2 linked regions of the Stegostoma tigrinum genome follow. The protein of the gene in region 1 interacts with the protein of each later gene in a biochemical or structural test. Links are inferred from orthologs where the notes say so. Each region holds a gene or a part of one and is shown on either strand. Other genes may lie near its edges.

Region 1 (3,751 bases):
CACCAACCTCCAGATCCAACGCATCATCCTCCGACACTTCCGCCATCTGCAATCCGACCCCACCACCAAAGACATCTTACCCTCCCCACCCTTGTCTGCTTTCCGGAGGGATCACGCTCTCTGTGACTCCCTTGTCCGCTCCACACTCCCCTCCAACCCCATCACACCCGGCACTTTGCCCTGCAACCACAGAAAGTGCTACACCTGCTCCCATACCTCCTACCTCGCTCCCATCCCAGGCCCCAAGAAGACTTTCCTCAAGAAGCAGATGTTCACCTGCACATCTGCCAAAGTGGTATACTGCATCTGCTGTACCCGTTGTGGCCTCTTCTACATTGGGAAAACCAAGCAGAGGCTTGGGGACAGCTTTGGAGAACACCTAGGCTCGGTTCGCAATAAACAACTGCATCTCCCAGTCGTGAACCATTTCAACTCCCCCTTCCATTCCTTAGATGACATGTCCATCCTGGGCCTCCTTCAGTGCCACAATGATGCCACCCGAAGATTGCAGGAACAGTAACTCATATTCAACTTGGGAACCCTGCAGCCCAATGGTATCAATGGGGATTTCACAAGCTTCAAAATCTCCCCTCCCCCCACTGCATCCTAAAACCAGCCCAGCTCGTCCCTGCCTCCCTAACCCCTTCTTCCTCTCACCTATCTCCTCCTCCCACTTCAAGCCCCACCCTCATTTCCTACCTACCAACCTAATCCCACCCCCTTGACCTGGCCGTCCTCCCCAGACTGACCAATCCCCTCCCCACCTACACTCACCTCTACTGACTCCATTCCTGCGCTTTAACTTGTCTGTCTCCTCTCCACCTATCTTCTCTATCCATCTTCGATCCGCCTCCCCCACTCCCTATTTATTTCAGAACTCTCTCCCCTTCCCCCTTTTCTGATGAAGGGTCTAGGCCCGAAACGTCAGCTTTTGTGTTCCGAAGATGCTGCTTGGCCTGCTGTGTTCATCCAGCTCCACACTTTGTTATTATGGAGTAAATCATTCTGGATTCATTTCATAATCACATCTGATTATGGGGATTAGTTACAGAATGCCTTGTCCATGTTGCAACAGCACTGCAAATTATCCATTTTGACACAGGGCTGAAATTTCTAACTACAGCATCTTGTTTCACCAAGTGAAAAGTCCAAAGAAACTGGAAATCAGAAAAGATAATGAGAGGCATAGATAGAGTTGATAGCCAGAGACTATTTCCCAGGGCAGAAATGGCTAGCACGAGGGGTCATAGTTTTAAGCTGGTTGGTGAAAAGTATAGAGGGGATGTCAGAGGCAGGTTCTTTACGCAGAGAGTTGTGAGAGCATGGAATGCGTTGCCAGCAGCAGTTGTGGAAGCAAGGTCATTGGGGTCATTTAAGAGACTGCTGGACATGTATATGGTCACAGAAATTTGAGGGCGCATACATGAGGATCAATGGTCGGCACAACATTGTGGGCTGAAGGGCCTGTTCTGTGCTGTACTGTTCTATGTTCTATGTTCTATGTTCTAAAACAAAAAATGCTGGAAAAACTCAGAAGGGTCACTGGATCCAAAGTATTAATTCTGTTTTCTCTCAACAGATGCTGCAAGACCTGATTATTTTTTTCCCCCAGCAATTTCTGTTTTTGTCTTTGATCTTGTTTCACCAATTAGTTTGTTTGCCTCGTGTTCCATTCCCATGGAAAATGCAGCAAATCTTTATGCATGGAGGACAGCATTTCAATGAATACAAAGAGGATTTTCCGAATGTATTTCGCTGGTTGAATTTCAAACTTCAGAGGTCATCAACATAGCAATCTTTGCCACAGCTTTGGCTTGGTTGTACAGGGAGAAGGGGAGAACTGTCACAGTCCTTGTGGACCATCTTTGTAATTTAGAAACTAAAACAGAAATGGCTAGGAAAAGCTCAGTGGTTCTGGCATTAAATACGAAGAGAAATCAGAGTTGACGTTTCACGTACAGTGAAATTTCCTCAAGTCTTTCATTGTCAACAAATTTCAACCTCCAGTTGCATCGTACCAAGTGTATATTGAAATAGAAATTGATGACAAGGAACTAGATATGTTTTACAGAATCGGTCCATATTTTCTCAAACAGCAAAGTATCAGGCCAATTGGAATGGCTCCACAGATTTTTAAGTAAGTCATGTCAGGGTTGGTTTGCATTAAACATTGTAAAATGTACATTATCATACATAAAGTTATACACAAAATTAATTAAACCATTGAACAGTTTAGATTTAGTTAGTTTTACTATCTTTCAGATTTAATTGATCGTTTAATTATTCTACGGCTATCTTTTTTCTAGTCTGAAAGCCAAATAACAAAACATCAGATCCTCGGTAGTATAGTGGTTAGTATCCCCGCCTGTCACGCGGGAGACCGGGGTTCAATTCCCCGCCGGGGAGACAGTGATTTTGTTTACACCACTACTGTATACTGTATGGTGAATGAAATGATTATATCTAATTTACCTTTGATTTATCACTTCAAGTCAATATTTGTTTCAAATTTTCGTTTGCTATAGTCAAAAATGATGGATTATTATGCTAACCGGACGTGCGTACATGACGTCTGCAAATACGACTGAACACGACCTGGCAATAACTTTATGTCAAGCCATCACCTACCGATCATTTCTTTGATCACTTCAGCTCTACAAAGGGGACACTTTGGGCGAAGCTGAATTTTACATCATGTCGCCTGTAGATATTCCAGTTAAAATCTGTAGGCCAAGTTGTACTGCGCTTGCGTGCAGCTTTCTTCCTTGTCAGGGAGTTCCAGGATTGTTTACTAACGTGGTGGAGTGCGTTCGAGGGCAGAGGAAGAGGCGGCGCGCGAGGGTAAAGGGTCGAACACGTGAATTTGGAAATAAAAGGATTTACAAGATGGTGAGCAAGTAGTACCATATACATCATTATTAAAGAATAAATAAAGGAAGGAGGTCCACGGAGATCATTAAGGGTTGTGAAAACCAAGGAAGTGGGAGGGTTGGTGCCCTGAGGGATTGAGTCGCCGAGAAAAGAGCCCGAGAGACGGCGATTGTGAGCGTGAAGTTTGAAACAGAGTAACCCTCATATCAGGAAGGAGGAAACAAAACGTCTTTTAAAAAAGTGTTCGCTTTAATGTTTTAGGTCAATTTTACTGAGGGTACACTCAACGTGCAGTCGGGGCATCATGATTCAAAAATAAGCCCGTTCCAGTCACGTGATATGTCAACTGAATTAACGGGAACCCTTCGGCGTGACGGAAATGACGGCGTTTGTTTAATGTATCTCTCTTAGCAACGGGGTGCCCGGAAAACCACCAGCTGTTGGTGAACCAAGATTTTGTTCGAAACGTTGCAAGAACAATATAACAGCGGTGGAATTTGTTCAGTAGGAGGTGTCTTACTGCTACTCTGCCTTCACAACAAATAAAATGCCAGCTGCCTACGGACTGGAAAAGGGCAACCAGAAACTTCTGGCGACTATGTATCAAAGACCTAAGAAGGATCATAGAGTAACTGAAGGTTTCACAGTGAAAGCCATGATGAAAAATTCCATTGTAAGTAGCTAAATATTCATTGGATCACATGCTTAAAAGCAGACTGCATGCTATTTCAACCTCCCTCTTTTAGTATGTGTGATGTTTTAAACGAAAATTTTCTTAGTAGCAGCTCATTATTCTCAGCTATGAATTTGTACGAGCTCAATGCATCCAAAGACAAATTTATTCTTCTACATTTTGTAACACCTTTTAAAGTAATGCAAT
Region 2 (3,751 bases), on another chromosome or scaffold:
GCATTATGAAATATGGCTAAGACAGTGCAAGTTTAGTGTATAAATACTTACCACAATGCTGGTAATGGTGAAGCTCTAGTTGGAGTGGCTAAAACATTTTTGAGCCTGTACTGCACACAGCTAGTAGAATTTGATGTAACCATGTCATCTAGATTTGTGCATGATGTTGCATGTAGTCTGTATGGACTCATACAGTTGGCTACAGTAGTCCAGCAATCCTGCAATTAGTCAATTTTGCAAACAAACTAATCATTAGAATAGTTGTCAATTTTCAGACTGAATTCAGCTTAACAGTGGCAAAAAAACATCACTAGTCCAAAAGTCTGAACTGGCTAATCCCTCTCAATTAACATTCCATGCTGCTATTCCAATACTGTCACTTTACCCCAATTCACTAGAATCACTTGATTAGCTGGTAATGTTAGAACCATGCTTGACTATCTTTCATTAAAGCTAGAGAAGGAATAAAAAAACCAACAACTTGGCAGAATTACTCCAATTCACCTAGAACTGTGAGGTAGCAGGATCGGAGCCCACATTCTCCACCCTTTGGGCCAGCGCAGAGACTTAGTAGTTAGCACTGCTGCCTCAGTGCCAGGGACCCAGGTTCACTTCCAGCCTCGGGTCTGTCTGTGTGGAGTTTGTACATTCTCCCAGTGTCTGCACGGGTTTGCTTTGAGTGCTCCAGTTTCCTCCTGAAGTCCAGAGATGTGCAGGGTAGGTGGATTGGCCGTAATAAATTCATAGTGCCCAGGGATGTTAGGCACGGGAAATGGGTCTGACTGTTGTGCTCTTCAGGAGGGGCAGACTGGACCTGTTGGGCCAAATGGCTTGTTTCCACACTGTAGGGATGCTACAAGATGTTCCTTCAATTAAGTTGGTTAAATGGTAGGACAGGATCAGTGGCAACTCAAACATGGGCTGTTCTGGTAAAGGGACAGTGTGAATAGCATTGTACAAAAGGAGCCATAAAGTTGGATTAGCCATCACCTTGTTGAATAGCAGAGCAGGCTCGAAGGACTGAACAACCTACTCCTGTTGCTATTTCTTACACTTAGTTCTTGCATCATACTTGTGAGTTCCCTGAGTGAAGTTTTTAAATTGTGCAATTTTGAGCTGATTTTCCAGTGTTAGATTTACCCAGATCCAAAGTATTGAGATAAAACTATTAAAAAGTTACAACCAAAATTTCTGCCCAGGTGCCCTACATCCCAGCCTACCTGCTTCACAAAACCTTACTGCAAGATCTATTGGTATTGCCACACTAGAATTCTAGCATTGCTAGATACTCTTGGCTAGTTTTGAAAGATATTAAACCCCAGATTTTATTAAAATATTTGGGTCAAGGGGAAAAAAGCACTCTAGAAACCACCACAGTGGTTTAATTTTAATACTCAGTTATTGGATAATTTGCTTACTGTGAAGCTAATCAAGTGCTCCTGAGAAACCAAAACATGTTCAAGACGACCAAGGCCTGGATTATATGCCTAAACAATGTACAACACTGCTATTCAGTTAGTGGCAACATGTTGACCAGAATCGAAATAGCTCAAGATTAAGAGGTTGGCTAAACAAACAATCATCTACGCATAGCAAAAGTCATAGTTAAATAAAACCTGCAGACCTCATATTCTATTACCTCCTTTTCGTATGGTTTCGTAGACTGCACTTCTGTAAGTTCATCCAAGTCTTGCAAACACTACGATCAGAAAAGACCGATTACCAAACTTAGAAAGCGTGCTAAAGCACAATGGCATATTCATGTGCGGTTAAACTTACAATGGCAACGTCGGCTTTTCGCTTTCGGGTATGCAGCACAATCCTGTTCGTTTCTTCAGTTTTCGTTGATTGGTCTACTAATTCACTGAAAAGAAATAATAGCTTAAAAAATGCACATTTGCTCATTATGGCAAAATGCCTTGTAGAGATTAGGCCTTGTAGAGACACCCACCGTGAATTTATAACTGGTAACACGGCACTGCTTTCAACTCACTTTAAAATGTACCTTTTTCTGGGCATCTTCAGTGTTGTTTGTGTGGTTTAAAGATCTCCTGTAATTCAGAAGGGAGAGGCTGCATGAAGTTACTGTCGCTTCTCGAGGTAGTGAGGTGGTTGCTGCTGCTTACTCACAGGAGTGGACCTCAGGTTTGGGCGCGGGATGGGGTGGGGGCCACGCTCCTCTGGCCCAGTCACATTACTGGTGTTGGGAAAAGAGGGGATGAGAGGGAGGGCACTCAGCCCCAAGCCGGCCTCTGATCTCAGCGCACAGCCGAAGATGGCCGAAGCCGGGACCCCGCGCTGCCTGCTGTTTAACCGGGAAGAATGTGGGTACGACCAGCCTGCGCTGATGGGGTGTCAGCTGGTGCTCACCACTAGGTGACCCTCGGTATCTGTGCCCCGTTTCTATGGTCTTATCGCCCCCTGTCTTCTTGCTCTGTAGCCTGCCGCTGATGCTTCCCTCCAGTTAGCCCTCAGCCGGCTCCCGCTCTTAGCCCAGCTCCGCTCCACAGTGCCGGCTAGTCTCTCTTCATCGCGCTTGCGCTGATCCCTTTAAATCGCTGGCGGGAGTCAAGCGCGCGTTCTCAGCCGGAGGAAGTTGTCACAGGCCACGCCCCTGTCCCCTTAGGCTCCGCCCCGCGCTCCTTAGCTCATGCTCCCTCCTTCACCCCTTGTGTCCGGCTTGTCCCACTCAAACAGACTCGCTGCCAAACCCCGCCCTTCCCAGGAACCCCACCCACCCAGAACGTCATGCGCCACATCACGCCACACTTCCCCTCTCCGACCCCGCCCACCAGTGCGAAATGGGTGGCGATAATGACGGTGAAGATTGGGGATGTGGTCAGTACGTGGGTCGAAGATAAACAAAATTCCCGGCCTTCAGCCTGGGGGCCTGGAGCCGTAGAGCCATGGAGCCTTAGGGCCAGGCTCATTCCCTTTCCCGACCTAGACTGAAGCTCCAAAAGCTTGTGTTTTCAAATAAACCTGATGATTTCTGACCTTGTCCACCCCACCCCAACATCGGCACCTCTACATCATGTGTGTCTTTGACTGTCAGTGAGAGAGGGTCACCAAGCAGCCTGCTGCTTTGAACCCTCGCTTAGATCTCAGAGGTGATGAGCTTGTAGCAGCTGTGAGACCGTGCAAGCTCATTGTGTTGTACTGGAGATGGTGCAGCTGCGGCCAATGCCAGGTGAGAGGTCAGTCCTGTCATTGATCGGGGGTGACAGTGACTGATACTCTCGTACAATATCTACCTCCTCTTTTCTAGGGGCTTCTCTCAGTGGGTTGTCAGTGTCTCAGATAACCAGGAAGGCCTGTGAGGAGGCTGGGGTTGTATGTATCTCTCAACTTTGCCTCCTATCACCCATTCCCCCAACTGGCTTCAGGTCTTCACTGTTTGTTGTCATTTTATTTATTTCCCTGGATTGTAGCCGCATCTGAAAACCAAATGATCCTTCTCACAATAGACTGGTATGTTCTTAAGAACCACTTTATGATATTGCAAACGCTTCACATATTTTGCTATCACCCTTAATTGCTGATCATTCCTTAAGTCACCAACTCCAATTAAGGAAAAAGAAAGGGGTAGTAGCTGTAACCTACAGACTTCCTGCTACAACAGTAATGTGTCAGAATGTTGTTTTGTTCAGAAATCAGGACAATAGAAGTGAAAGCGAAGACCTTTTTGTCGGAGACTTTAATTTCAGGGCTGTTAGGCAGAGCAAAGTGGCTTGAATTAAAGATAAATGAT

Evidence for each region.
Region 2: of the proteins of prkn (region 1) and ccne1, one has a biochemical effect on the other in vitro, tested with the Homo sapiens proteins (2 studies listed by BioGRID). The link is inferred for Stegostoma tigrinum from reciprocal best matches to the Homo sapiens genes PRKN and CCNE1.

What each region holds. Positions count from the first base shown.
Region 1 is NC_081362.1:24,016,710-24,020,460, reverse strand, and holds the start of prkn (E3 ubiquitin-protein ligase parkin), read right to left. Parts: upstream 2,695-3,751; 5' UTR 2,636-2,694; coding exon of another isoform or gene 2,629-2,635; intron 2,407-2,628; exon of another isoform or gene 2,335-2,406; intron 1-2,334. Other genes in the region: parkin coregulated gene protein homolog, read left to right, coding at 2,695-2,889. UniProt on the Homo sapiens protein: Functions within a multiprotein E3 ubiquitin ligase complex, catalyzing the covalent attachment of ubiquitin moieties onto substrate proteins. Substrates include SYT11 and VDAC1.
Region 2 is NC_081369.1:32,655,887-32,659,637, reverse strand, and holds the start of ccne1 (G1/S-specific cyclin-E1), read right to left. Parts: upstream 2,667-3,751; 5' UTR 2,020-2,666; coding exon of another isoform or gene 1,994-2,019; 5' UTR 1,906-1,993; coding exon 1,780-1,905; intron 1,700-1,779; coding exon 1,640-1,699; intron 219-1,639; coding exon 52-218; intron 1-51. UniProt on the Homo sapiens protein: Essential for the control of the cell cycle at the G1/S (start) transition.